Linked DNA regions of Alligator mississippiensis. The protein of the gene in region 4 interacts with the protein of the main gene of each other region in a biochemical or structural test. Links are inferred from orthologs where the notes say so. Each region holds a gene or a part of one and is shown on either strand. Other genes may lie near its edges.

Region 1 (6,859 bases), on a different chromosome or scaffold from region 4:
TTGAACTTCTCCAGTTTTTACACTTTTTTTTTCGCTTTGTTTGAAAAGCAGAACCCTCCCAAAACAGAAAAAATAGGTTCTTGATTTATGCTAGCAGTCAAATCATAATCTCTGCACAGCCCTGGATGAACAGCTGGTTACTAGGGCTGTGCGAAACAGCACTGTTTCATTTAGACTTCCGGTTCACCGTTTTGAAGGGACAGTTTCGTTTTGCTGTTTCGAAGTACTGTTTTGTTTTGTCAAAACCGTTTTGATGTGCTTTGCCTGTAGGCTGTAATGGGGAATCAAGAAACTGCCTGTAACTCGGTCGTTTCTTTTCTGATTCAAATCAAAACAGCAGGGATGGTAGCCCCTGCTGACCCCACAACACCCATCAAGTTTTAAGGAGATAAGTTCAGGGGTTTCTGGGAAACGACACCTCAAACTGCTGAAAAGCAAAAATCGTGACGTGTGTGTGTGTTAAGGTGCAGCGGGGTGAAAACTGCAGGGATGATGGCCCCTGCTGAGGTCACGAAGCCTGCCAAGTTTCAAGGAGATAGGTGCAGGGGTTTCTGGGAAATGGCACCTCAAACTTCAGAGCAAAACTCATGTCACTTTTAAGTGGGAAGGCACAGAGAAAACTCTGTTCAAACAATGCCTTTTATGCTGTTTTTCTGTCCCTCCCCCAGAGCACTGGGATTGGAAGGGACCTCAGGGAAGGATCACGGTCATTGGCCAGCTACTTTCCAGTCCTGGGCTGGGCTATGCTGTCTGCTTCAGAGAGCAGGGCTGGCCCTAGCTGGAGCAGTGAGGGCTGACTGACAAGGGGGTGGGGGGCAAGCCTGGCCGGGGATGCAGTCCAATCTAGGGGGGGGGTGGAGTGGGCAGGAAGGGAAGACTGCGCCCCCCCCCCCAGGCAAATCCTAGCTGGGGTGTGGGGCCAGGGAGGTGGGTTAAATACCCTTTCCCCTGCTCAAACATACTGGTTGCCACTCTGGACTACAAATCCCAGAGGCACTTGGAAGCAAGAAGAAGTAATGAGCAACCCTGCAGAGTCCTGTTATTGTGATCCTGGACTGCAAATCCCAGAGACCTCGGGGGCAGCACATAGCCAGAGAGCTGTGCTCTAGTGGCTCAGGCCAGAAGCCAGGGGCCACTGCGGGCACGTGGCTGCCTTTCCTGAATCAAAGGTAAATTTCTGTTCGCTTCTGTTTCAATTTAATCTGTGCAGTTAAGACTAACCTGCAAAGCCTGACTTGATTCAGCCTCAGGCTTTTTGACTGTCTGTACTTAGCCCTAAAGTTTCATTGCAATCCATGGGTTGGGTAACGAGAATAAAACTGCTAGTGTGCGGGTTTTAGAGCATCGGTGCCCCATCCTGCTAACTCCATGCTTTTATTTCATGAATTATCATCAGAGTAGATGCATCTCCTCTGTTCTGGTCTGCCGTGGTCAAACCCTTTTTGTATAGCCAATGAACAAGTTGAGGGAGGTAAGTCTAATGCCCCGAGCAGGACCCTGATTCCAAAGGTCTTCACATCTCTTTCTGCTTGGAGGTCTCCCACAGAGCATGCTTTGCTGTGTCAAGCTGCACTCTTCTCCAGGTAGGCGCTGGATTGAACAGGTCTGCTAATGCAGACAGACACCAGGGCTCCACTCGAGCGCGGAGCTGTGCTTGGATTGGAGTTGCCACGGTCTTATCTGGAGCCACCCCTAGAGACACATCCCTTGCCAGGACTCGAGTTTGACTTTCACTCTTCTCCAAGGGCTTGCAGAGCACCTTAAAGGGGGGGGGAAAAAAAGATGGAAGCTTTTAGAGTTCAGATGTTCATGCCCTGCTCCTTTGAAAGCTTGTATCTGTAAGTGCCACTTTATTTGAGAATCAGCACTCTGAACAAATGGTATGATTGGGCTTTTATTGTAATGATTTTATTCTGCGAGTTAAAAATACTGTGCTTGTTAACTTGTCATTATCTTAAAGCTACAACAGCTGTGTGTGACTGCCTACGATAAAGATAGAAACGTTCAGGAGGGGAAGCAGAAACACTCCTTTAAAAAAAAACCAAAAACTTGAAATTTTTAATGCTAAATGAATGGGGATAAAAATAAAAGTAGTGTTTCTGGTTTTGTTTATACACTGGTTAATGCCTTGACACACAAGCACATGTAGGAGAAATGTTCTTTGTGGAATCTCCTTGGCATTGTATAGCTTACCTTGCTTTCCTTTCCTCTCCTCCCTCCAGATTAAAATGGGGCAAGAAAAATATTTCAGTGTATCATTTTCTACCGATTTATATTATTTTAACTAATGTATTCAAAAAGTCCTTTCCTCAGTATATTGAAGTGACAGTCCTCTTGCTCTCTAGTGGATACATTTAAAAAAAAATCCTTTTATTATGGTGACCTTTTCAGCTTTTAGTTGTATCTTCCTTTTTTGCATTTACCTTGCAACTCAGTGAAATGGTGATCAAGCTTTTCCAAACAGTACCTAAAGCTGTGTCCCCAAGTGAATAAGCATTCAAGCAAATCAACTTATAGCATTTTATTAAGTCAAGACTCATGCAAAAACCACCTCCAGAGCTTAATAATTATTTACTGAATGTTCTTGGGTCATGAGAGAGGTTTTCATTAAGTTGGAAATGCATTATGCTCACTAGCTTGTGAAGGTGTGTTTAAAGACAGAGGGGAAAAACGGAAAAATACTAAATGGTGCACAACTGCTTGCAGAATTTTAATTAAAAAAATCCATGCTTAACAGACTCTTGAATTGGCAGGTTCTGTCTCTAATTAAACAATTATGATGCAATGAACTTCTTGTTGCAATCAAAATTAATTTTTTTTTATCAACACTTAATTCTTGTATTGCAAACATTTTTTTTTTTTTGTCTTTTCCTGGACACTTCTTGAAGGATGCTTTTTATATTCACTTTGCACCATCTGACAAAATGCACTTTCGGGTAGAATACACTTGTTTGAGTGTATTGTTGCAAATATGCCTAGTGTTGGATTTAATCTTAAATGCTGATGCTGGAGGGAAAGGGTTCAGAGCAAGAGGGGTTTGTGAAAAGTAAAGAAAGGATTGAAGGAGAAAAATACGTTCAGGTCGGTGATGAAGCAAGTGCCACGGTAAGTGGCATTATCTCCAAGAACATACGTCACTGGTAGATGTGGAAACCATACTGCTGCTTTGAAGTAAAACATTCTGAAATGCAGTAGCAACAAAAAATAGTGTGTAGACTTTATCAGCCATTATAATAGAGTAGTTTTACCAGGTTTGCTGTTCTGTCCTTGGCAGGAAAGGACAGAGCTGCGTGCCAAGACCTTTTTTTTTTTTTTTTTTTTTTTTTTCCTACATTGATACTTTGAGCTCTGCCAGCCAATGGGAATGGCGAAAGGAAGTGTCACTTGGCGCCCCCGATCATTTATTAAGGTTTGGAATGAAGTACAAAGTGCTGCGAGTGGAGCACAGCGTAGAGATTTTAGTGTAGGTAACCACAACAGTGGTCTGCCGAACTAAAAACAGCAAGGAGGAGCCAATTTTTTTGTAATCTGGTTCTTTTTTTTCACTTTTTCCTGTGGGGCAGCCTTGCTTAGTTAAGCAGCAGAGCCACTGGCTGCTCATATGCAGAGGTTTCATTATACCTTTGTGTGGATTAAGTAGTAAGAAGTTCCTGTGAAGCTTTCTTTTTTCCTACGTAGAAAGAAACTGTAAGATGGTCTGTGTGAACTTATTTGATAACCGACGTTTTATCTTGCCAATATGAAACTTTGCAGGTACATTAATTAGACTTTTTTTTTTTATAAACATCGCACCTGTGAATGAAGCAAAGTATTGAGCTGAAAAGCTGCCAGTCTTGGATCTCTTCTTAAAGTTGTTTTTCTTTTTAAATTAAGCAACAAGGGGTGCATGAACAATATACGTGGGTATCCCTCACGTACTTTATCCACGGCACAAAGAAGTGCGGTTATTACACGTAAGCCGACAAACACCGGTTTTCAGACCTTGCATTCTTTTGCACCTGCCTTTCCTAAGGGAACTTCAGCTCGGTTGGCATCTTCACAGTGCAAAATCCTAGACACTGCTGCTGCTTCTGGTAGCTTTTATTTGCCAGCCTTAGAGTCCCTGGCCAGGTAATACCTCTAATTCCAAATCAATTCTTAGTTTTTGGAGAATGGCAGGTTACTTTGTGCTTGTGCTCCCCTTGCTAGCATGGCTTTTAGTGCTTTTAGTGTGGTTCTTGAGAGCCCCCTATCCTGCTCCTGAGCAGTAGGCAGGCTCTGCCCCTGCCTCCTGACAAGCAAGCTGTTTTATAGCATCTTTATTACTCCACTCCCATCCCCTCCTCCCAGATTTTGAGCAAGGGCAGTTCAGACACCTGTCCTGTTTTCGAAGCCACTGCCTCCCTTTCCCAGGTCTTGCAGGGGTGGGTTACATTTCAACCTTTCCAATTTATGTTTGAACAAAATCCTATCGCTGCTTTTGCCTGGATTAATAGATCGGCATGGAAGTCTACCATGTTGCCGATGAAGTGGCCTCTTCAGTACTTGGATCTCTCAAGGTCATTTAATTTTTTTCCCCACCTTAAAGACTGATTCTGTTCATTGCCTGCTTTTTAAACTAAGCTGTTTGGAAGGTAAGGTGCCAGATCCCAAATTAACTCTTTGGTCTGGAGCTGTTGTAGAGCAGGGTGCAGTTTTATCCTCCAGCATTCAAACACATGCAGTGTTTTGACACTCGAAGTATAACAACAGTAACTCTCCCCCCCCCGATCAGCTTCTTGTTCTGTTGATCAACTCTTTAATAGGATGAGAGATTAAATTGCAGCCTTTTAGGGAATCCCTTTAACACTCATGCTTTCTTTTTTTCTTTTGTTCTAGAGCCTTTTCATACTTGCTGGGCACATCTACACATTCATTAATGGGCTTTTGCTACTGTATATTAAATTTACTACCTCTAATGTGAGGTACTAAATAAATGTGCATTAGGCTGCCTTAATGTGCAGTAGCAAAAGTGCACACTTTTTTTTTTAGTGACACAATGCACAGTAGCCTATTTTTACTGCACATTTGCTTATTAGCTTGGTTTTTTGACGTGACACTTTAATGCACAGTAAAATAGCCTCCTGCACATGTGTAATGTGCCTGCTCGGTAGCAAACCCAGTTAAAAACTGAAATCTCATGCACGTCTCTGTGACTGTTCAGTTTGAACCAGACTAGACTAGCGCTGTATTTTGGGTAGGATCCACCCATAATCTAGAGTTTTCACCTGGTTTCAATTTGGGGAAATAAAATGCATCAAGTTTTTTGGTTTAAGGTTTTGAATGAATTCACAGCTGAACATCAGAGTTAGCATGTGAAATGAGGGTGGGTGAGTGGGGAGCAGAAACTGTGTTTGCTGTAACCGTTGTCTCCTAAACTTTGCTTCAGATCATGCTCTGGGCGAGGAAAAAGAAATGGAAAATATGAGTGGTGAAAGCTGCGGCTTCCAACTTTGTTCCTGTCACACTTCTAAATTGTGGGACAAATTGGGAACTAAAGGTGCATTGTTTGACTTAAAGTTTTAGCTGCATTTCTTGATAAGGAGTGGATGGAGACTTGAGTGATCCCTTTCACATGTCACCTTGCTCCAAGTGACACTTGTTGTTCCAGGATCAGGATGGTTGAATGATGATCACAGCGGTGTCCTTCATGGGTGTATCTCTTGGCTGGGTTTTTAGGATTATGATGACCATCTTCCACCTCCATTCTGTCATTTTGCATGCATGGATCAACTCTTCTATAAAGGGCTTCCCAGATTTGCGTGCCACCTTAATGTTTCAAATGAGATGGATGATTAACTAAAGTTTTGTTGCAAATTTAGATTGTTGTAAGTAGGGTTTTATGGACACTCAGGGTTCTAGTAATATATAGAAGCTGTGGATATATAACGTTTCTTGAGAGTTTTTTAATCAAAGAAACTCATCTAATCCAAAACTGTTTTGCAAACCAGCCAGCATGTGAGCGCCTGCAACCAAAATTGACTTGGTATTGAGTAGCGTTTTCTATCTAAACTGAGAAAAATATTTGTATCTGAAACAAACAAATTATTGAGAGATTAAATGTAGAGCCTAATGATGTAGTGTTATCAGTAAGAGAGTAAAGAAAACTTTTTATTGTCAGAATAATGTAACTTAATCTGACTAGTGTGTTTTCCATACAAAGTCCCTGTATAGTGAGTGATATGTACAGTCACTAACCTCTTCTAAAAAGAGAACAGATTTTGGACTCAATAAAATTTAGTGATTTATAGGTATGACTCCATCTAGACTGGCTTTGTATCATGCATTACACTTGTAGGAAGTGCCTAGTAATTGTGTTGCTCATTTAAATACTGTATCCTGGAGTTTACCTCCTCCTTTGTTTTATAGATTTCATGATCACATCCGGAATACAAGATGAAGTTTTTTATTTAGTTTGATTTTATGTTGTGTTGTGGTCAAGCATCCTCATTCTTGAGGCCCACATGACTAACTCAGTGCCAGTTTTGAGAGACCCAAAGAGCCCATTCAGATGATTGGAGATTGCTGAAGAAATGAATTTGCAAAGCCCCTCCATGGTCTGTGGCAAGCTGAATGCTTGGAGCTAGTTGCACACTTTTTTTTCAGCCAGCTGCTTTGATGAAAAATTTTGTGTTGACTGACTAAAGAGATTTTTTTTTTTTTTTAATTAATTTTTTTTCTTACCCTTGGGAGAGGGGGAGGACAAAACTGTTGGCTGAATGCTGTTCAGGGAGAGGCCTACCTCTTCTGTTTATCACCCTGCACCTTGCTGTGGGTTATGGTGAAGGAGCGTGCAGATGAACTGTGGGTAGCAGTCTCTGTGGTAGATGCTTGTATGTCT
Region 2 (7,845 bases), on a different chromosome or scaffold from region 4:
CTGAAACAGCAGGACAGATGATAACATGAGTGTTGCCTTCATATGTGAAATTCCTCCTCCTTTTAAATATAAAACATAATATCTTGATGTCGTAAATATTTTAGGCTTTAATTTGTACGTGAGTATCAGTGTACTGATCAACTACAGTATGAGTGACTTTATGAAACTTGCTGAACAATCTACAATTTATCAAAAAACTATATCTATATGTAACTTTTAAAAACAAAAAGGAAGGCCGACTTTCCCCTTCCCTTTTTTTTTTTTGAACTGTTCCACTTATTTGGATTAACGATGTTATTAACAAACTTTCACTCGGTAGTTTAAAAAAAAAATCTTCCAAAGTGTTGATATCATTTCCAGACAGTCTTGTCAGCATCACAATTTACAGGAAATAGTTGATGTTCTCAAACAAGCCCTGTATTTACTCATAGACCCACAGTACTTTAAAAAAATCCTCACTCTTTTGGAGTTTGTTTTTTGTTTTTTTTAAATGTCACTCTGGTGGAATATCTGACAGAGCTCTCTAACCTAATGTACGTATTGCGAACATGAGGAAAACACTGTCTACAGCTCAGAAAGAATACTGTAACTTTTATTCTCATTTTGTCCACGTCAGAAACTGGCTCTTACCACTACTTTCCTTTGCTGCCCCTTGCATTTTAACTCTGGCAGTTTTCTCAATGATCAACTTTTCCTAAAACCAACAGGAAAGTAACATGATGCCATCAAGATCCATAGGTTTCAATTGCGTAGTTGAAAAAAGCTGCCTGAATGGCAAAGATTTTGATGGCTCCTTTATAGTTGTAATGAAATGGATTAAATGAAAACCAGGCTCATATGAAAGTACTGTTTATTACACGTAGCATCCACAAGATGCTAGGTGCTGTACAAACTAGGTATGGGCCAAGCCCCAAGGAGCATACATATCTTGCATCCTCTGTGATGTGTCCCTTTGCATCTGTCGCTTGCTCACTCATACTCTGTTCTCCTCACCACAGTGTCCTTGCACTTGTGGAGGAAGAGAAGATGGACTTAAGAGGTCCCTTCACTTTAACTTATGACTTGGCCCCACATTTTTCAGTCAACGCACTTCAGAGCATTGACACTGGTGTCTGGAATAGCGACCTGATATTTTTTAAGTGAATGGGCCCCTCTACAACCTCAGAAACAGAAAACATACAGAAGTCCTGGTTGATTAAAACACACCTTATTTTTCTATTAACCCCCCCAAACAAATAAATCAAACCTCCCCAAATATCAACGAGAGGCTCTGCTTCATGCGCCGCTCAAGTCACAAAGCAATTCTACGCTGAAAAATAGCCCCCTGTCACTGCCAGCATCCCACAACTTTGTGGGTCTTTCTGGAAAGTCCATTTGGATTTTCACGGCCTTTCCCTGGGTCCCTTCTCCCCTGGCCAGGGCCCAGGGACGGGGACCCAACCGAGCGGTGCAGAGCCCACCAGATCCCACCTTGCCTGGACACTGCAGCTTTTTACCAAGCCACAAATGACCCCCCCCAGCATCACACTCCCCCTCCTCAGAAGTAGCCAGCCTGCCCTCAGCCCCATTCGTTCAGTCCTAGCCTAAAAAAAAAAAAAAAAAAAGTCTGTCAGACAAACAGATCCCTAGTGGAAAACACAAGGAAGGGGGTGGGGGGGAGTGAGGAAGGAGACAAAGTTATGGCAACCATGGCAGGGCTCAGCATGGGACTGCGCTCTGAGAGCACAACTTTGCCTTTAAGAGGAAAAGTTTTCCGTCGCTCTCTGCTCTGATTTCAAAGGGAAAAAAAAAAATCCACCACCACCATGTCGCCTTCCCCCCACCATCCCCCCCCCCCGGTGTGACCAGGGCTTGCTCTTCCCCCCAAAAGAGAAAGTTGGTCCCAAACTTACTACTCTTCATGCTGGTCTCTGTGCCCCGCTTGTCATGATTCCCAGTAAAAACTTCCAGCAGCAACAACAACAGCAGCAGCAGCAGCAGCAAGGACTGGGTGACTGCAGCTCATCGGATGCAAGATCTCTTCTCCCCCCTTGCCCAGCGCCCCGATGGGGGGATCCCCCGGGGAGAGCTCCCCCCGCACAGCACACCCCGGCCCCGCAGTGCCCCGAGGGGTGGCTGCTGCCCCCGGGGGAGCCGCGGGAGGCAGGCGGAGAAGGGGGTTGTTTTCCCTGCTCTCTCCGCCGCCTGAACTTGACCCTCCTGACTCCGAAGGGGCTACTGCAGTTTGCAAGTCGCCAATTCCCAGCGATCACACATGGCTTTGACCCACCAGAGGACGGGGAAAAAAATGCACCCAAAAAAAAAAAAAAAAAAACCCCACCAAAACACACACACACACACACACACACACACACACACACACAACCCCCCCAAAATAACAGAGAGAGAGAAAGGCTGTGAAACCCGAGAAGCCCCCGCTTCCTCCGGGCCGTGTGACACCCCCCCTCCCTCACTGTGCGTGTGCAAAGAAAGTCACTTTTAACCCCCCCTTGCACACGCACCAGCGCTCAGCACTCACTACATGCGCAACAGCAGCAGCCTCCCCCCCCAGGCCTGCATCTGCCCTTCCCAGCCCCCAGCCGGCTGCTCGCCTCTGCTCCCCCGCCTTTACCTGTTGATTAATCGGCAATAATAATCTCAGCAGCCTGGAAGATGGTGGAGCTGTGGCTTGAGCCATGAACCGTCTTCTGTTGTTTGCAGAGTTGATCTTGGATGGCTGGGGGGGAGGGGGGGAGTGCGAGGGTGAGTGTGTGTGTGCAAAGGGGGAAGGGGAGAGGGGGGAAGACAGAGAGAGGAGAGGAGGGGGGGATTTTTTTCCCCCCCTGCCTTTTCCCCCCTCCCCTCTGCCCCCCTCTTTGCAGGGAGAGAGAAAGGGAAAGAGCAGGGACCTGGATGTGCCTGGTGCGTGTGTGCAAGGGAGGAGAGAGCCGAGCCGGGGCTGGGGAACAACAGCCCCGGAGGAGGAGGAGGAGGCGGCGGAGGAGGAGGAGAGCAGCGGGCTGCAGATCGGCTCTTTATCAGAAATGTTATCGCTTGTCAGGACCTCCGTCTCCGAGCATTACGTCAGTTTCAAGACACCAACACTATTAATATCAAAGGAGCCTTCGCAGAGAAAAGCGCCACCCCAGCCGGAGCGCCCTTAAAGAGACAGTGCAGCGTCCCCGGCGCGCTCCGCCGGCGCAGCCTCCTGCTCCTCCCCCGCCCGCGGGCGGCAGCAGCCACCGCTGGGGGAAAGGCGGCTTTGGACTCGCCCACGTCATTCACAACTTTCCTCCGTGTGATCATCGCCGTCCGGAGGAGTCCGCTGCCTCCTTTCCGCCGCTTCCCTGCTGCATTGAGCAGACAGAGGGAGATGTGGGGGGCAAAGTTTGACCCGGGGGGGGCAACTCTTGATTGTCCTTGCTGGTCCTTACCCGAGTGAATGGCCATTCCTTAATGTGGTGCGACCTGTGCAACCCTTCCTGACACTCGCATCCTTCTTCCACCTGCAGGGAACCTCAATGTGCCATGCCGAGAGAGCAGGCAAGGTTTTGTGGGATGGGGGAATGGGATCTTTTGCACTGGGTCAACTGGAGAGTTGGGGACGTGGGTCTTTGCAAGCTTTCGGGTGCAAACGCCCTTCTTCAGGCATAGGGAGTCCGCTCCGGATAGCTGCATCTCGGGGGATTCCTCTTCCTTTTGAGCCGGCAGTGCAAAGTGTGGGGCATGTGGGGCTGGGGGATCCTATAAAGTTTTTTTCTGAATTGGAAAAGAAGTCAGAGGGATATTAGTTGAGCACCCTGATCTCCTTCACAGAGATCCCTTCAGAGGCCCCTGAAGTGTCTTACAAGAAGATGCCAAATTGCTGTTGTGGGTATTGGTGACGTTCCAAAGGACTGACCGCCACAAACGGGGCGAGATACAAAATTGAAGCAGTCCCTGCCCCCAAGCGCTTACAATCTCAGAGGTGCAAACATGGAGCAGACAGAGGATTGACCGAGACGTCTAGATTCCATTCTTCAAATGAAGATTAAAGTTTCAAATTAGCCTTCCAAACTTTCAAATTATTACAAGCCGCTTCTCGGTGCTCCGTGATCATCACAGGCACAAGACAACCCCAAGCTGCTCTTGAGAAAATTCTTCACACTTTTCTGTGTCTATACAGAATCTTTTCAATTAAAAATAGTCAGATTTCTCCCATACCAGAAGTGACTAGCAGTCAATGTCTCTAATGTAAAAAAATAAAATAAAATCTCCAAGGCAAGGCAATACATAAAAGGTTCCTGTGAAAGACTTTTAAATCCCAAATATAGTAGGTGTCAAAAACTATGTAAACATTTGTTGAGCATTTCGACACAATTTTTCTGCAGTTAGGTGACTTTCTGTGGCATGTTTTTCCTTCCAGGCAGGTCATTTTTAACTGATTTCATATGAAAATAGACACATTCCAGTTACTTGCAGCTAATAGTACATTTTTAAAGTGAGAAGCTGAAAAACCTGTTAAACAATTAAAATATTAGTTACAGATGAACATATCCCCCACTAGATATTTTTACATACCATAACATTTTCCTTACAAAGTTATTTTCAGGGAAATCATGAATTATAAAGCATAAAGTCCTCAAAGGTACAAACTGAGGCAAAATGAAACCTACTGTAAAATATATGCCATTTTCAGCCTCTTCTCCAGGCTTATACATTCTTCATTTATGTTTAGTATAATATACTGGCAGATTTGTAAAGTAATTGCTCATGTAAATCACCTAGCAACACATTTCCCCCTTAAGTTCTTTTGTAGGGCTGTCTGATAAAGCACTTTATTTATAAAAAGCAGTAAGTCATGTACAAGAGGGAACTCGTCAGGATGGAAAGGGTAAGTAAAATATAGTTCCACAATGAGGAACACAATATATTCCCCAAAAGTGGGAGAAGAAAACTGACATATTATGTGTGGGACTGACTATATTCCCATCAGCAGAAATTCATTTTGGAACAGTTCTGATGTTTATATATGGAATGCAAAGAAAAGCAATACCAAAATCTTTCATAAAATTTAAAGTCTGGTACTAATGACTACCTGTATATTTTAATACCAGAGCAATTTGCTATAGCACATCAGAAATATGCACAATGAAAGTACTTTTGGAGAACATAAATCTTCACTCTTTTTTTAAGTTGAAAATGTTGTTCTTGAACTTATACAGGCAAGGTTTAAAAATCATTTTAATAGTTTCAGTCATTGTGAAATACACTAGAAGTAACTGTTGTGTTCTACTGAATATAACTAAATATTTTTCTCCATCCTATATAATTTAGATTTTTAGCTAAATACAACAGGGCAGAGTAAGCAATCAGCTAGCAGTTCAGTCCTGTATAGTAAGGATTAAAATTAGCAGGTACTTGGCTGATGGTTTGGCTGAGCATCTGACAAGCAGGGCTTGAATGGAAAATATTTAAACAAGGGTTAGTCCCCTTTGCTTCTCTGCTCTATTAAAATTTATTAAGCAAATGTTTCTGCTATAAAAAGGGAAATGATGCCCCTTCACACTTTCAATCCTATCCAGGCTTACATGTACAAATGCAACAAAAGTTCACATTGAACTAGAAGAGATAAAACATGGGAAAGTGTGATAACTATGGAAGTACTGTACATGCTTCAGCATATGTAAAACTTCCTGACACTGACATCTTCTTTCACCTGCAGAAAACCTCACCAGAACGATAAGTGATTTATATTTTAAATGCTATGAAAAAAATGCATCAAGGTTCTTTATTCTGTATTTTTAATATTAGAATAGTAAGAGTGCATTTCATACGTAACTGCTAGAATAACAAATTGCTTCTTCATCGTTTAAATAGAAAACTTTAAGGAAACATGGTATTGCACAGAGAAGTATGCTACAGTATCTCTGTAAAATAATGCTTGCATGATGCATTCTGCCTTTGGAGTTAAAATAAAGCAGATCAAGAAGACGTCAATATCAATCTGTTTATATTAACCACAAAAGAGCTGTGGAGAACTTAATAAAAGCAAAAATATTTTCATAAACTTTTTCAGGCAAATTATTTATTTATGAAATAATTTACAATGAAAATTTTTACCTCATGCTTTAGATACATTGCATATGCTTATGATTGACACAATATGTTCAGCTCAAAGGCCCGTGCAGCATTTTTTTTATCTTAGCAGGAATATTTCAAAATAACTAACTAATTCATGAGGTCATACAGTAATTGTTTGACAGTTGTTTTTAATATAGAAAATAAGCTGTGTATATTGTTTTCATTCAAATATTTGTTGATTTGTCGTTATAGTCCTTTGACATTGACATGCCACAAATTTCATTATGAGAAATATCGAAGATTTGTTTTCATTTATTATGTTCTTCTGTCACACATTTGCAAAGTCACCTAAAGAAACTTGTTTCTTTCCCATTTATTTCAGATCCATATTCTGTGTGATATTAGGTGGCTGTTGAAATAAAAAAATCCAGCATTTTATGGCAGGTAGGAACTGAAGCAGAAATTAATAAAACAAACAAAAAAAAACCCAACAAAGCAAGAAAAAGCCAGGAAAGTTCTACTTTCACATTAGAAGCATGAACAATGTAATTTCTAAATAATCCTCCATTTTTTACACTCAAGCACGTTCTCTATTGAGGGAGAATAGAAAGGCCAGTCATAATGGCTTTTTGAAGGAAAACAGTGTAACAGCCATTGTTTATCGAGATGACATAAACATGACATTTATGCCTTTATTGTTTAATGCAGTTTTTCTTTTTCTTGTAGTTTACTCAGTGTAGATACAAAGAGGGATTAACAGGTAAGCACAAACATTCTTGTTTTACTATTTCAGACTTTTAGTGCAGAACTTACTTACTTGAAGTGCTAGAGCCTATAATCACAATGATTTTACCTGATGGAACATACGTTTTAGAAATTTAATCCAACTGTTTACCCTAACACATCATAAATTGCAATTCTTTACAAAAACCTCAGAGATTGACATCCATTGCTCTTAAATGCCTGCTGTTTTAGCACACATCATCAAGAAAATATTTCTGTATTATTCTCCCTCCAGTTAGTAGTATATCACATGAATCCTAGAGACCGTTTTCTTTTACTGTCTTCAGAAATGAGCATTTTGAAGTGCACTTGCTTGTGTGTCTCAGGCACTACAATGTAAGTTTCTTGGGAATATAAATAATGTATATTACAGAATTTCTGCAGACCCACTTCATTTCATTGCACCAATTTTGTCACATAAAACCCTCCCAAAAGTTTTGTCCTTTCTTATACAGGTACAGAATCAAATTTTCGAACTTCCAACAGTATACTAAGGTGGAAGACAAAACATTACAATTGATTTTAAAAAGGAACAGAGTTGGGGACCATAATGATGTGGTTAAAATGCCTCTGAAAAGAGATTATGTATGGTGATGGACAGGATAGCACTAAAAACAGCCAATTAAACATCATGTAACAGACAAATTAATAATGTGGCATGAACCCATATTCAACAGATGTTTTCTAGGGGGACTGAATATCTGGTAATGGGAAATGGAGCCTTTTACTTCTATGTCACCATTTTTATACAAGCCAGTAGTGAAGGAAGGCCATTAACATCTGATGGGTGTTTGGTGGCCTTCTCTATTGCATCATGAAAAAAAATGTCCTCCACAGCATACCACTACTACATCTGAACCAGCACCAAAATATGTCATCACACTTACAGACAGTATCATAGATTTAGTAGATTTCATAGACATTAGGGCTGGAAGGGACCCTGTGAGATCAGCAGGTCCAGCCCCCTGCCCAAGTGGCAGGAAGTCAGCATCAGCAGAGAGGACATAGATTAAACATGGA
Region 3 (7,242 bases), on a different chromosome or scaffold from region 4:
CCGGACCTGCCCTGCCCGTCTACGGATCCTTTCTTCCTCCTCGCTCTCATCCTGCAGCTGGGCATAGTGCGAGATGACGCTCTCCAGCCGATTCAGGGCTGTGGTCTGGTTCTCCCGCAGACGCCGGGCCAGCATTGGGTCCGTCAGTGCAGGATCTGTACCTACAACCACGAGGGAGAGGGACAAATAAACTAAGCATCCACAGCCCAACCTTCTGCTCGAAAGGCACTAGCGTCCCTGCAACCAGATTAGCCAATAGACCCCACAGCACGTAAAGAAGAGGCTCAGTGCTCATCAGCGGGGTCCTCTGTCTACCACCTTGTGTAAGCAGGAGAGAGGCACAGCTCTCCCTGGAGCAGCAGTAGACAGAGGCCCCTTGGGCCATGCCAGCCCCACACACCCTGCACTCACCAGGGCGGTAATGGTCGGTGAGATGGCTGCCAAAGTTGTAGATGAGGTCGAGGTGGCGGCGCTCCTGGAGCCGGTTGCCGACATCCCGAAAGGCATCCTGGGCCATGCTCTCTATTTGACGCTTCTTCAGGGCTAGGCCATGGCGGGCACTGGCCTTCTGAATGACCTTGAGGATGTCAGAGTAGTCAGGGAAGATGTCAGGACGGTTGATGAAGCGCTCGATGCGACGGTTGACCTCTGGGTAGCGGGTGCCACGGTAGGGGATGCGCTGCTCGATGACGCGCCCGGTCAGGCTGCTGCACTGCTTCAGCTCGCACAGGCGCTCAAAGATTCGCATCATGCGGCGCTTGAGCCGGCTCTCCTGCAGGTAGGTTGAGTCCTCGCTGTCCATCTCCGTCAGGTCCAGCTCCCGCTCCTGTAGCCGACGGATCTCCCCCATGTAGATGTGCAGCAGGTTCTCCAGGTACCGGATCTGCCGCTTGGAGCCTGTCCCATGCCGCCCTGCCCCAACCTCTGCCTCCATGGCTGCCAACTCGCTCCTGCCCGCCTCAGTGTCCGCTGTCTCATGCTCCTCAATGTTGTTCTGCTCCTGATTCGTGGCAAGGGGTGGGCAAGGAGCGGGGACAGCACTGATGGCCAGCTTACGGCGCTGGGTGTTGGCCTTGAGCACAGTGCATACTTCATTAATGTAGACATACACCTTGTGGTGCCGGGCCTGCACGCGTGTCAGGCAGCGGCTCAGCACATTGCGGAATTCAGCTGAGCCCAGGAATGCGGGACTGGCCTTCTGGTGCCGGCCCGTCAGGTAGGGGACCACCTCGGGGTGCTCCTCCGTCAGCTGGGAACAGCAGGCTAGGAACTGTTGGTGACAGACGCACAGAAAAGAGGCAGGTGGGGCTGGGGTCAGCCAGGCACGGTGCTCCAGGAATTGAATGGGGTCAGGTCAGGGTGGGGGTGGGAAAGGGAAAAGATAGGCAGGGAGCAAGTATCAGTGCTCCACGGACTAGGGGAAGGAAAGCAGGCAGGTGGGGAAGGGGTCAGGGGTCAGCCAGACACGCTCCAAAACCTGGGGGCACAGGGGGAAGCCAGAGGGGGTGACAGTGAGCAGCTGGGGCCTGGGCCCCGCTCCACCTCCCCGTGCTGGCACAGGGGAGCCCCCCTCCACCCCCAGGGCAGCCTGGGGAACTGAGCACAGCGCGCTGGGCAGTGTGCACTGCAACCCACCCTGGGCTGGGGATAGAGAGGACCAAGGAGCCTGGGCTGGCATGCGAGGGGAACTCACGTCGGCAAACAACTGCTCGTTCTCAGCCTGGAAAGCGCCCCTGTCCTGGGGGGCCGTGGCGACAATTGTGGGACCATCCAGGGAGGCCTGGCTGGGGGGCGGGGGGGAAACGGCATGGGCCAAGGGGCCATCCTGGGGGGCGCAGCTGGTGGGCAGGGGGGAGGTGGTGGGCGGGGTGGGCGGCGCCTCATGCCCCTCGTAGTCGTCGTCGTCCAGGACAATGATGCTGCCGTGGGGCGCGGCCGCCATGGGCGCAGGCTCACAGCGGGGGGGCGCAGCGCATCCCAGGTGGGCGGGGGGCACCTCCGCGGGGATGGACCTGCGGGCGGAGGGGCGTTAGCACCACCAGGGGCCCCCACCCATCTCCCCGTAGCCCCGCCCCCGCGGGGCCCGGGCCCGCGGAGCCCGGCGGGGGCGGGGCAGCCGCACGGGCCCACGGGACGGGGAAGGAGGGGTGGGGCCGGGCCCGGGGCAGGCGGGGCCCGCCCCCCGCGCGCCCTCACCCGCCGCCGCCGGCGCTTCCGCGGGGCCCGAGCCACCGAGTTCCCTCCGCGGCCGCGCGCAGGACCGGAAGCGGGCCCCAGTGTCAGGTGCGGGCGCCGCCATGCCGCCGTACGGCCGCGCCGGGCCAATCCGGGGCCGCGTTCGCATCCGGGTCCTGGCCGGGCCCGCGGCGCCGCCATCTTGTTGCACGGCGAGCGGGGGCGCCCCGGCGCGGTACGCCTCCCATCGACCCCGCCCCCGCGGGCCGCGGCCCCCGGGTGGCTCCCGCCCATCCTCCCTCCCGCCGCCGCCGCCGCCCCGCGACAGCGGGAGGTGCAAACCGGCCGCCCCCCCGACCCCCGGGGCGCCGCCATTTTCCCGCGAGGAGAGTACTTCCCGGTGTCGCTAGCCACATGACCTCACTGCCCACGTGACACCACCCGACCAATCAGAACGCCGCACTCTAGCTTCCCCCGCCCACCGTTTAAGAGGCGCGGGCGGGGCATGACTTGGACCCAACCACCTTCCCGCGCGGGGTGGAGGGGGCGGGCGTTCCTCTCCGTTGTAGGAGGGGGCGCGCGCCACTGCGGGGGTCTGGCCGATACCATTCCCGCAGGGCGGGGGGTACGTGCTCTGCGTCTGCTCCGCTTCCGCAGAAGATGGCGGCCTCCACGAGACAAGCCATTAATAGCGCCGTCCACGCGCCGCTCCGCCGCGGGCTGCTAAAATGGCATCGGATTGATAGCGACTCAGCGCGCATGTGCGCACCCGCACCTCCGGGCAGCTGCGTTGGCGGCCCGAATGTTCTGCGCATGCGCTTCCAAGTCCGTACAACAAAATGGCGGCGCCCAGGACATTTGCAGTTTCGGTCAGGTGGGTGGAGACGGCGGCTGCGGAAGGCCAGAAAACCCCAGTGCGGCCAAGAGGTGGCTCTATGGCCCTCCCGGGGCTTTGTCAAGCTGCACGGTCTGCAGCGGCGGGAAGCGGCCCAGAGGCTGTCTCCCAGGGTCGGGCTTTACGGTTACACGGTGCATCTGAATGGTGCTGGGGGGGCTTTGCTGTCAGGGAACAGATCCACCGCAGCTGCAGCTCCGAGGTGGGCAGTCCGTGCCGCCTCTTTCAGCATGGAGCTGTCCACTGCCCCACGTGTCCCCGCAGCCGCCACGTGAAACCCAAGGGAGCGGGGCCGGGCCCTCGTGCCTCGGGGTCACTGCAAAGGAGCGGGCATTTGCAGCACAGCCGGTGCGCCAAGATGTCCATCAACCCCCCGCGGTGATGGTGGCAGCGGCCTGCGAGCCCTGGTGCAGGAAGACCGCGAGCGCTGGCTGGACACCCCTTCTCGTTCCCTGTGACTCCGGGTGGAAAAGAGGCTCAGGATCCAAGCCAGGGCCTGGTGGCAAAGCCGAGGCACATACTGCCAGGTCCCTCGTCCGACCCATTGCACAACTTCCTCAGCCCCCATCCACCGGCAAGCGTGAGCTTGGAGCAGGCCTTGGCCCGCAGACACCACAGGGAAAGGTGCCCGGCCCAGTGCAGATCCCCAGTCGCTTGCCTTGGCACGGCCATGCAGTTGAGTCCCAACTCATAAGAACACGATCGCCGCGCCCTGGGTGAGACCCGGTCGTCCTGCCCAGTCTCAGGGTGGGGAGTGAGTGCTGATGGGGGCGGTTGGTTTTCCCCCTGTTCCTCTCCCACCTGCAGCCTCCAGCTTTTCAGGTCTGGAAACCTCCGACCCAGAAGCTGTGCCCCTCGCTCTTGTGCTCCATAGTGACTGATGCCCCTCTTCTCCAAGGATGTGTCCAAACCCTTTGCAAACCTGGCTGAACTCGCAGCTTTCACCACATCCGGTGACAAGGAGTTCTGTCCTTCAATTGCACGCGGCATGAAAGACAACTTCCTGTTGTGAGTTTTAAAAGTCCTATCCAGTGCTATTATTTTGTGACCCCTGGTCCAATTACTTTTCCATGCTTTACAATCACTTAACAAAGCAACAGCATGCCGAGTTTAGGCCCTGACGAAGCTACATTTCATGGTAAATTTAAAATTGAGCTTCTTTTGAATGCTAGAGTCATGGCTGCTTCATTTTCTCCAAGTTGGTGGCTCTCAACCATCTCAGACTTGAAGCTCCTTCAATAGACTCCAGGCTGCCCTCAAAAAGTGGTAGCCCTTAATTTGCAGGTTTTTTGAATGTAGAAAATAACAGAGCAAATTTTCTGGTGCAAAGACATAAGAAAGATGCAACAGGCCAGACTGTTCTTAGCACTATGAATCCTGATGAAAAAGCTCGGGGTTTACTTTGCCAATCACATTCGCCACCTAATAGCACGAGTGTTGTGTGGCACTTTGACTCACCCCTGAGAGGATCTCACAGCACCCTGGTGGGGAATCACTGCTCTAAGTTCCTAGTCCAGCAGATGGAGATGGTCCTGTTACCTATGACCAGAACTAGCCCTGTCCATTGACAGTGAGGCTTCTGATGGGTCATCTACTGCACTGGGTAGTCATCGAGAAATCAAACAGAAGGAGGGCTGGAAGAGACCTCCAGAGGTCACGTCTTATTCAGCCCCCTGCCTGAGGCAGGATCATCCCTGTTCAAACCATCCCTGACAAATCCACAGTCTAAACCTTCACCAGCTTTTGCACTCTTACTCTTTTGACCTCCTTCTACAGTGACATCTCCAATATCTTGTGGATTAAACAGCTTACAATGCATTCAATCTTTCCCCAAATAAAACCTGTTAGAACATGTGATGCCTTCCATTTAGGGTAGATTCTTGCTGATGCCTCCCTCTTTTACACACTGGGTTAGCACATCATGCCACATAATCATTGAACACACAATACAGTCATGCGTTTCCAGCCAGCATGTTGCATAAGAATTGGTTAGTACCCTCTTTCTGAGCCTAGCACTGACCTACGAAGCACCCATCTGATGGGAGCCACTGGATACATCACCTGTTCTTTACCTGTTCAAGGCATTGGAGTGGAGCATTTGCAACCCAGCAGGGCCCACAGGTCTGGCTCCATTATCCCCCAGTCTTGGTGTCTCACGGCAAAATCCGAAACCTAGGCTGGGATCTGTTGATTCAACCCTCTTAGACACTTTCCTAGCATCAATATTCAAAGCGCTTGGACCTTGCATGGATACTACTACCCACAAGACTTGTCCCAGATGGTATGAATTCACAGGTCCATGTTTTCACTTTCTTCTCTAAAGTGGTTTCTAGTCCAGTCGTCATTTTTACTGTTACTTGGTACATTTTAGGCTTATTATAATGGCAACCTGTACTTGCCATGGCACAACATTGTCAAAGGATACATGTGGCTTTTCAGGAGGGAAACCATTGCTATCTGCTGTCCCCATCACGTCCTGGTTGTGCTGCCACCGCTTGATCCATGACTGCTTATTTGTCAGTTACCCCTGCTTATTGTGCAGCTAACCTTTCATGAAGACCATTTCACTCTCTGCCACCTGTGCACACCAGCCCAGCCCCCAGCCATGGGCCTACAAGTCCTCAGTGGTGCAGCAGGCAGAAGATGTTCGAATCTCAATGGCTGCAAAGGCAGATGAAGGCTGCAGTGGACCAAGATCCCCAATTGTCTTGGTTTCCTTGCCATTGGATCAAGATCTCATTCTGTCAAGCTGATGCACAGCAGCTTCTCCATGATAAAAGAAATAATGTACAAGCATCTTCGATGGAAACAGTTTTTCCAGCATATTCTTTAAGTCCTCCAGTGGGCAGCACCTAGTGATGATGGGAGCAGGCCTGTGAGATCTGGAAGCTCCTAGTTATGAATTGGCATGATGATGGCAGTTACAAGAAGGTTGTGTAGCACTTGGAGCCAGGACTGCAATCTGATGGTTGTCACTGTAACTGAGCAGCCCTCTTCAGGATCTGCTCTGCTTGCCCCCCTTGGGAAGGGGCCTAGAAAAAGTTGCTCTGGTTACCTCTTTCCTAACTGCATAACTGCATTCAGTGGGATCCCCTTTGCTGCAGTCAAAATCAACAAAGATACGCAATCAATTTTGGGACCTGGAACATCAGGACCTTCACAGACAATGTTAATAGCAAATGCCCAAAGTGCTGCACCACAATTGTGGCTCAAGAGCCCAGGTGACACAGCATTGACATCACTGTCCTAAGTGAGAACAGGTGAATGGGAGATGGGCAGCTCAAAGAACAAGGAGGCAGCTATACTGGAAAGGTAAACAGGAAGGAGAATGCTGGCTTCATGGAGCTGGTTTTTGCCATCAAGAATGAACTCAACCAATGCAATGACTTCCCTGTTAGAATGAATGAGCACCCCAAGACTCTCTGTTTTAAACCGGCAGGAATTCAACATGTCACTGTCATCCATCCCCTATGCCCTGACTCTTGACCCTGCTGACAAAACCAAGGAGGAATGTTATGCCAACCTCGACCAAGTCCTTTTTGGCATTCCAGAGGAAGACAGACTTATTCTTTTCAGCTATTTCAATGCCAGAGTTGGAAGAGACTCAAACCTCTGGACCAGAAGCATCAACAAGAAAGGAGTGGAGAAAAGTCAACTCCAACGGCATACCCCTTTTGACCAGATGGGCAGAACACAGACTTGCCATCACCAACGTCCTGCTCCACCAGAAAAATAGGCACAAAATATGGCAACACCTGTGATCTAAGCATTGGCACCCGATTGCCCACATCATTGTTCATGCCTAGGGTGACAGATGTCTGCATCACCTGAACTATGCTAGGAGCTGACAGTTGCTGGACTGATCGTCAACACATCTGCTTGGTTATATCATTCAGACTGGCTCCGAAATGACAGCTGCAGCAGAGGCAATGCTGACAGGTCAGTAAGGACCCAATCAAGCACAATCTCTTTCACCAGTGCCTACGTGAAAACAAGGACAATTCCAATCAACAACAGTGGGAGAATGCCAGCAACACTTCAGATGCCTTCAAGTCCACTGGCTTCTGCACCTGCATGGAGACATGTGGATTCACTAGCAGGAAACATCAAGACTGGGTTGAGGAGAACAACCAGGAGATCCAAGAGTTGATCGACCACAAGCGCAAGGCCTT
Region 4 (7,709 bases):
TTCCCTCAATTTTGACTGCAAGAAGGTAATAGAGCAATTCTTCTGTTGCAAAGACAGACCACAACAGGTCACAATGTTTTTAACACCCTGCTTCCTATTTGAAATCTGAGTTTATCATTATGTTTGCAACCCTAGCAGTGCTAACATTGCATGGTACTCCATGGCACCCTTGCAAGGATCTGACGGCATCCCAGGGTGCCATAGCACCGTGGTTGAGAATCACTGGTCTACTCGATTAAGAGATGTGTAAGCTTTCATAAGCAAGAGTTCATTTCAGCAGATGGCTTGAAAGGACACGCACAGAGCAAACTGTGTCCTTCTACAGCACCTGATGAAGTGAGCTCTTACTCTTGAAAGCTCATGCACCTGTAAATCACTTTCTGGCAGTGGTCAGCAATCTGTGGCCCCTGGGCTGGATCTGTGGCCACTTCCCGCGCCACTGCAGGGATGAAGACTGGCTGTGGCAGGGTCCTAGTGCCCACCTGGCCACCTCCAACCCAGGGTGGGTCATTCCACCCCACAGCTAAAAACGTTTGCTCACCCACATCTAGAAGGTGCATCCACACTCAACTTCAGACTACCATGGCTAACTATCTCTCTATACTGATTAAAGTTAGGTAAGTAAGAAAAGGATATTTGGATTTCACAATGCCAGAATATTTGCAGATTACCAGACACTGTACGTGCCATTAACCATCTGTAGCAAAACTGGATTTAATAGAAAATAAACACAAGACACTTTGATACTAATACTTATTTCAAAATATTCTCACTGTATCAAATTATAAAATAATTAATTTCATTTAGTGAACCAAGGTCAGCCCCAGCAGAATAAAGATAAATATGCAGTAAACCCTACCATCATCATAATATACTCAGTATTTCATCCTCAGTTTCTCCCTACCTGTTGCCAATCACAGCATGAGACAACAGATCTGTTAAAGCAATTGATGGTCCTCTGGGCTACACTGCAACCATCGGTTAAAAAACCATGAAAATCAGTTATGCTTATGGCTTGATACAGTATCCCTAAGTTTCAAAGGCAAAAAAAAGGTAACAGCTACTCCTAAGAAAAATATTAAGGGTCAAGTTTTGTTTGCGAATGCACAAATGCAAATTCCACAAGATTAACGAACAGTTATATCAGAGCAAATTTAATTAACCCATGCATTCTGTGACCCGCGTGGTACCAAAAAACCACCAACAAACGGCGTTTTCCAAAAAGTGACATGCTGCACCTTCATCTTCTATTTCATTACGGTAAAATTTTGTACTTCTTTTTCTAGCCTTCCTGCCTGCTCCAGCAGGTATGCACCCTGCTATGGACTAACAAGCCTGTGATTTTCTTATTATACAGCATAAAGTTCCCCTCATAGTTCAGTAGAAGGCATTAGATTCAGCTTAACACATCCATCAGAGTTCAAGTTAAACTATTCCCAAAGTGACCTGCAGACAGTGAAGTATTTTTTGTTTCCAACGTAAAAGAGACTATATGCAGGACTACCATCTGCATTAATGGTTTTATACACTTATACTTCAAGAGCAAGTTGAACTAAAATTTTTAAAAGGACCATAACACTATTACATAAATATTTTTCCTCTCATCTAATAAAGTTGATTTCCTACTTCTACCCACTCTCCACTCAATGTAAAATGGACATAGTTAGCTTCACTAATATGAGCGGGAAAATTAAGGAAACATTTTTAAAAGCTGTCACTGCTAAATATTACTATGATTTTTATATATTTCAAAACAAATAATCATAGTCATTAGATAGCACAACATTTTCACCAGCTTATTTCATTCAGCAAGTTAGTTTAGTAGGCAAGGAGAATATTTTAAAAAAGAAGAGTAACTTTAGACTTAAATTCCATTTTCAGAATTACTTAGAAATCTTTTAATTTCTTACTAGAGCCATACAAATGGATAACATTGGACTAGTCACATGATAATTAGTATATAAATCCAAAAATCACAAGATCTTTCACGTTATGAATTTATTTTCAAAATTTGTTCTTTTATAATTTAACTTGCATCTATCATCTGAGCTCAAGCTTGAAGACCTGGATATGGATTTCACAGCATACATATAGTGTCTGAGTTAACTGACTGTACAATAGAAACTAAAATGTTATCCCTGAAATTAAAAAAAAATACAGAATTGGACACTATAATACAAACCTAAATACAACATTTAATTGATTTTCAGAGCCTTTTTCTAAGGCTTATGACTTTCCAAGCAACTAGCCAGGAAAGAGGCTTGAAACAAAAGATTTGACAAAGAAAGAGATGTCAATGGAAAAAACCCCTTAAGAACCCCCCACCCCAAGAATTGGCCAAACATGATTTTAGCCAAGCTCACATTTCCTCTGCACCGAAGCGTAAACAACCCGAGCGGCAATGTGAAGAATCACGGTCTTGGTCTAGAGGGTAAGGTACAAGTCAGGTCTGCTTGGACTAAATTTCGTTCCCAGAAATGCCACAGGCTTCCTGGGTAAGTAACCACGGGCAAATCACTTCAAGCGACTCAACCTAGACCTGGACCAGGTTACAGACTCTCACATTTTCGGAGGCTCCCCCTAGCTGAAGAAACGTTTCTAGGTTCTCTCTCAATGTCAAGAGTTTTGAAAAGCTTCCCTTGAAGTGTTTACGCTGCAGGTTCCAAACACGAGGCCCTGGGTACGATCAACACTCCCATTCCCCAGATGTATGTGCTGCCTGTATTTTTCTTTCTGGACAGACAGTTGCAGATACAGACTTTACAGACAGCCAGTTTAACTTTCTTCTAGTAATGTAACTTGTAAGTAATACAATTCAAAGCTGGCCGCTTCATTTTAGTGTCTGCTTATTCACCTGTGGAAGTGGGAGATCACACACCTTGCAACATGTGCAGCCATGCAAAATGAACTGTGAACACATCAAAATCCTCAGGCAGAAAGTACCACGGACTTCTTATGGGCACTGACAGAAGATCTCTATTAACTTTAACCCTTTCTCATTCCAGACTCAGAAGCAAACCAAGAACCCCAGGGAAGATCTCAATGCTTCTGCTCTGGTACCCTGCCTGCTGGCACGCAGCAGCGTCTAACCACGCTGTGTGACAGAGCGTGAATGTAAACACCGCTTTCTTCCTCAGCGTGCTCAGAAGCACGGGTACGTTCTGCACGCTGCTGCGAGCTCGGCCCTCCGCAGCTCTTCCGATCGCTGGCGAAGAGTCCTCGTACGGATTATACCCCAGGTTCCACTCACTCCTAAAAACCAAATGCAAATATCTAAAGCTCGCCATATCCTGCAGAATCATTATTCTAATAATTCTTCTACGAGGACACAAACACCTGCTACTAAGGGAGAAGCCCTAGGTCATACGGGGCCAACAAGTGGCACGCGACAGACGGGGGGGAGCAGAAAACAGAGCAGCAGGTGGGGTGAGGACAGGGAGCGGAGCAGTACTCTGGGAGGTTTCATTTGTGGCACATCCACCAAAAAGGCTGGCCCCGCTGGGCCAGGTCACCATCGTTCGGAGGGGAAACAAGTTAGCCAGGCCTTCGGCAGCGTCCGGCCACGCCTGCTGCTGAGGCCAGCCCCGCCGGGCGAGACCGGAGAACGGAGGACCGTGCTCGAGCCCCCGTTCCAGCCCGTCCTTCCCGCTTCTCCCTTACCCCGCTCCCACAAACGGCGCCGCGCTCCTTCCCTGCCGCTCGGCTCCGACCGCGGTCCTCGCGCCTCCCTTTCGCTTCGCCTCTCGCTCCGCCCGCGCGGCGGCTCCAGGAGCCAAACTATGCGTTTAAATCTGGAGCAACGACTCCCGCCGGCTCGCCCTTACGTAAAGAACGGCGCTTTCCTTCCTAAACGTGGTCGTCCGCCGCCCCCGAGCGCGGGGCCTCCCCCGCCTCGGCAAACACCTCCAGCCCGGCCGCACCCGCGTCCCGGCCCCCGGGAGCCCCGGCTGCGCGCGGGCGGGCGGGCCCGGCCCCGGCCCCAGCCCCAAGCCAGCGCCGGGGCCGCCCCTCGTGCCGCACGGGGCCGGGCCGGCGGGAAGTTTGCTGCGGCCCCGCACAGCGCCCCGCGCCGGGCCTCGGCGCCGCCCGCGCCTGGGGCAGGGCCCGCGGCCTCCCCGCGCCGGGGGCCGGGGCCGGGGCCGGGGGAGGCCGCGCGGGCCGGGGAGGGGGCCGGGGAGAGGCAGGGGGCGGCCCGGCTGCCGGCACCGCGGCCCGCCCCGGCCGGAGCCGCCCCGCGGGGCCCGGAGGAGCCGGCGCGGCCGCCCTTCCCCCGGCCCGGTCCGGCCCTTCCCTTCCCCCGCCGCCCGGCCGGGCCTCACCGTGAGCGGCCGCAGCACCCGCGCGTGTCCCGGATTGAGGCGGCGGCGAGTGACCCGGATGTTCCCGGCCGCTCCCCCCCTTTGTCTCTGCTCCGGACTTTCCCTCCCTCCTGCTCGGCGCGGAGCGCGGCGGCGCGGCGTGTCCCTCCGCCCGACCCGTCCGTCCCGCTGCGCCGGCGCGCTCTGACCCTCGCCCCGACCCGTCCGCCACGCCGGCCGCCCCCGCAGCACGTAAGACCCGCAGGTGGCCAGGTTAGTGCCCGAGGCGCGCGGCGCTCCCGCAAGTCTCGGCTGCCCGGCCCGGCCCGGCTAACTCCGCTGCGCTCCGCAGCGCGCTCCGCTCTGCTCCGCTCTGCTCTGCTCAGCCCGCGGCCCTACCGGCCTTTTCCTGCAGGCACCGAGGTGGCCACCTGCGGCCTCAGGCTCTTAGGACCCCGGCCGGGGCGGCGGTGTGAGGGCTCGGAGGTGGCGCCGCTCGCCCTGGCCTCCGCCCGTCGTGCGGGCAGCCCTGCCCTGCCCTGCCCTGCCCTGCCCTGCCCTGGCCTGGCGCGCGCGAGGACGAGTCCGCGGCCGCAGGGAGGGGCCGAGCGGACTCCGGGCGGGGGGCGGGCCGGAGAGGCCGGGGCTCGCGGAGACCAGGCGGCCCCGGGGCGGGGGCCGCTGCCCGCGCGCGTGTCGTGTCCGGGGGGCGCAGCCCGGGAAGAGCCCGCCCTCGCCGCGGCCCGCTCCCGGGTGGGGGGCGCTGTCCAGGGCCCGGCCCGCGGAGCCGCGCCAACCGCTGCAGCGTCCCGCCCGGCAGCGCCGCCCGCCCCCGCCCCGCGCTCCCCTGCGGCGCGGCGCGGCGCGGCGCGGCGGTCCCGGCTCTGGAGTGGGCCTGGGCCCGCGCCGCCCCGGGGCGCCCGGCAGGGAGGTGTCCCCGGCACCCCGGGGCTGCCCGCCACGGCGAGGGTGAGGGCGAGGCCGGCGCGGGGGACGCGCTCGCCTGCGGCACGAGGGAGGCGGGCGTCGCGGACGCGGCCCAGCCCGACGGGGCGAGCACGTGCCGCTGGCATCGCGGCACTGCGGCCCCGGGCACCCGCAGCCCTGGCGGGAGGCGCCGAGCTGCGCGGGTCCCGCTCCTCGCAGCGGGGGGGCTGCGGCCAGCTGTCCTTGTGGGCGTCTGACCGCTTAACGTCGCGTTGGGTCTGGCCCGCGTTGGGAGAGACGCTGCCCCTGCGCGGCGCGACGGCCGTGCCCTGCCCTGCCCTGCCCTGCCCTGCCCTGCGTCATCGGCCTCTTGCCAGCGTACCGGGCAAATCAACGGCTTAGATTTTTTTTAAAGCCTATTAAAGAGCCGTAGAAAAGCAGGGCTGGACGGGGGCTCGGAGGTCGCGCGTCCGATCCCCTGCTCGAGAGAGGATCCCTCCTGACAAACCGACCTGGTTAGGCGTTCCTCGAACCTGCTCCGAGACGGCGAGGGGTGGAGGTCCCCGCGCCGGTCCACGCGTGACCACCCTCGCAAGGAAACGCTGCTAACTAACGCGTAGCGTAAATGTCTGTGGCTGCAATTTGAGACCGTTCTTTGTCCCGTCTCCTGTGCCCACAGAGACTAACCCTCCTCTAACTTCCCTTCAGGTATCTGAAGACTTATCGAATCCCTCTCAGCCTTCCCTACACGAAACGCTCCCGGTTCTTTCAGCTTTTCTTCCTAAATCCAGATTCCCAGATCTCTCATAATTTTTGTGGCTGTCCATAAAAGTCTAATCTGTCCACATGTCTCCGTGCGATGCTCAGACCTGGACGGAGTATGTCGGACAAGGCTTCACCAGCGCTGTCAAGGGTGCGAGAATCCCGTCCCTTAATTTGTATTTAAATAATATTCATTCAGTACATACTTTCTGTCCAAGTTTAAGGACAGTTTAAACACCTGAACTAGGGAAGTCACTGGCCAAGTGCCTGCGTGGTATTAATGCAGCCCAGGACGTGGGGCTCCTTGGTTTGGTTTGGTTTGGTCTGCAGCAAGACTCATTTTCAACTTACGGTTCACTGTAGCCCCGGGGTTCGTCCCTGCAGCCTGACCACGCGTTCCCGTTCCCAGCCTGTGCTTGTACCTGTGATTGCTCCTTCCTACCTTTAGGACTTCTGCGCTTGTCCTTATTGAATTTCATTCAACTCATTTTGGACCAGCTTGTCAAGATCATTCTGGATCAGGGGTGGGCAGTTACTTTGGCTGGGCCTACTTAATGAGGTTTGATGAGCTGTTGAGGGTTGCGCACATCACAGTCAAAACATCTACTGTAATGTGTTTGAATAGTTCGAAATAAAGTCCTACTCTTATATGTGGGGGCAGCGCTCGTGCGCTAGGTCCTGGGAGCTGACCGGCCGTGGGGGAGGAAGGGGGAGCGGGATGCATGCAGCAGAATTCATGCGGGCAGCGCAGGTTCAGGTGTGGCTCATCCCACCCCACCCCACCCCGTCCACAGCGCTCCACATGGGGCCAAGCCCACCAGACAGCACCGCCTGAGCCCCGGCCGGCACAGCTGCCCAGCGGGGCTGCTCTTACAGCTGCCCAGGTACCACTCAGCTCCCCTGCCTCCTCCTGCGCCTCTCTGGGCAGCAGTAGTGCGGGGAAGCCGTAAGGACCCGTGCTGGGAGCCGGGTGCCCAGACAGGCCAGGGAGAAGCTGCGGCCAGGCAGCTCCTGCCCCAGTGTGCAGGGCTCCGGCTCCTGGATGCCTCCCACCCGTTCAGCTGCCCACAGGTGTTCATTACACTGGGAGGGCAGGATGGGTGGAAGGCAGCCAAGAGCTGGACCCGGAGCCCTACACGCTGGGTATCTGCTGCCTGGCACACGTCCCCACGGCTTCCCCATGCTGCCTGCTGCCCCGAGTGGCACAGGGGGCAGGAGGAGGAAGAGCCACTGGAGGCAGGGGTAACTAGCAGTACCTGGGCAAGTGTGACAGCAGCCCCGCTGGGAAGCTGTGTGCCCTGGCTGGGGCGGGGTGGTGCTGTCTGGTGGGCCTGGTGCAGGAGCAGAGCAGACTCGGCCCCATGCAGCGTGCTGCAGGGGCGGCTGCAGGCTGACAGTCAGTTGCTGGGCGTCTGCTCGTGGCCAGGTCCAGTCAGTTGGCAGGCTGCATCCAGCTTGCAGGCCATGTCTTGCTCACCCGTTCTGGATCCTAGCCTCACCCTCCAGTGTCTGCACCTCCGTCCAACTTGGCATCATCTGCAAATTTGCTAAATGTGCACTCAGTCCCATCCTCCAAAAGTTCAGGAAGCTATTCAACAGCGCTGGACCCAGGGCAGATCCCGGGGAACCCATTCGATGCCTCCTTCCAACTACACATTGAGCTACTGGTGACTACACTTGCAGCATGATAATCCAACTAGTTATGTATCTACCTTACAGCAC

Evidence for each region.
Region 1: the proteins of UBE2I (region 4) and MITF form a complex in vitro, tested with the Homo sapiens proteins (2 studies listed by BioGRID). The link is inferred for Alligator mississippiensis from reciprocal best matches to the Homo sapiens genes UBE2I and MITF.
Region 2: of the proteins of UBE2I (region 4) and TRPS1, one has a biochemical effect on the other in vitro, tested with the Homo sapiens proteins (2 studies listed by BioGRID). The link is inferred for Alligator mississippiensis from reciprocal best matches to the Homo sapiens genes UBE2I and TRPS1.
Region 3: of the proteins of UBE2I (region 4) and DAXX, one has a biochemical effect on the other in vitro, tested with the Homo sapiens proteins (5 studies listed by BioGRID and IntAct, with this or other methods). The link is inferred for Alligator mississippiensis from reciprocal best matches to the Homo sapiens genes UBE2I and DAXX.

Annotation. Positions count from the first base shown.
Region 1 is NC_081835.1:6,396,781-6,403,639, forward strand, and holds the start of MITF (microphthalmia-associated transcription factor), read left to right. Parts: upstream 1-3,845; 5' UTR 3,846-3,886; coding exon 3,887-4,110; intron 4,111-6,859. UniProt on the Homo sapiens protein: Transcription factor that acts as a master regulator of melanocyte survival and differentiation as well as melanosome biogenesis.
Region 2 is NC_081826.1:25,711,902-25,719,746, reverse strand, and holds the start of TRPS1 (zinc finger transcription factor Trps1), read right to left. Parts: upstream 3,008-7,845; 5' UTR 2,612-3,007; intron 2,276-2,611; exon of another isoform or gene 1,903-2,275; coding exon of another isoform or gene 1,893-1,902; intron 1-1,892. UniProt on the Homo sapiens protein: Transcriptional repressor. Binds specifically to GATA sequences and represses expression of GATA-regulated genes at selected sites and stages in vertebrate development. Regulates chondrocyte proliferation and differentiation.
Region 3 is NC_081834.1:64,839,778-64,847,019, forward strand, and holds the start of DAXX (death domain-associated protein 6), read right to left. Parts: upstream 3,020-7,242; 5' UTR 2,991-3,019; coding exon 2,782-2,990; exon of another isoform or gene 2,658-2,781; intron 2,287-2,657; exon of another isoform or gene 2,197-2,286; intron 2,013-2,196; coding exon 1,694-2,012; intron 1,271-1,693; coding exon 412-1,270; intron 162-411; coding exon 1-161. UniProt on the Homo sapiens protein: Transcription corepressor known to repress transcriptional potential of several sumoylated transcription factors. Down-regulates basal and activated transcription.
Region 4 is NC_081836.1:59,500,038-59,507,746, reverse strand, and holds the start of UBE2I (SUMO-conjugating enzyme UBC9), read right to left. Parts: upstream 3,002-7,709; 5' UTR 2,899-3,001; coding exon 2,879-2,898; intron 1-2,878. UniProt on the Homo sapiens protein: Accepts the ubiquitin-like proteins SUMO1, SUMO2, SUMO3, SUMO4 and SUMO1P1/SUMO5 from the UBLE1A-UBLE1B E1 complex and catalyzes their covalent attachment to other proteins with the help of an E3 ligase such as RANBP2, CBX4 and ZNF451.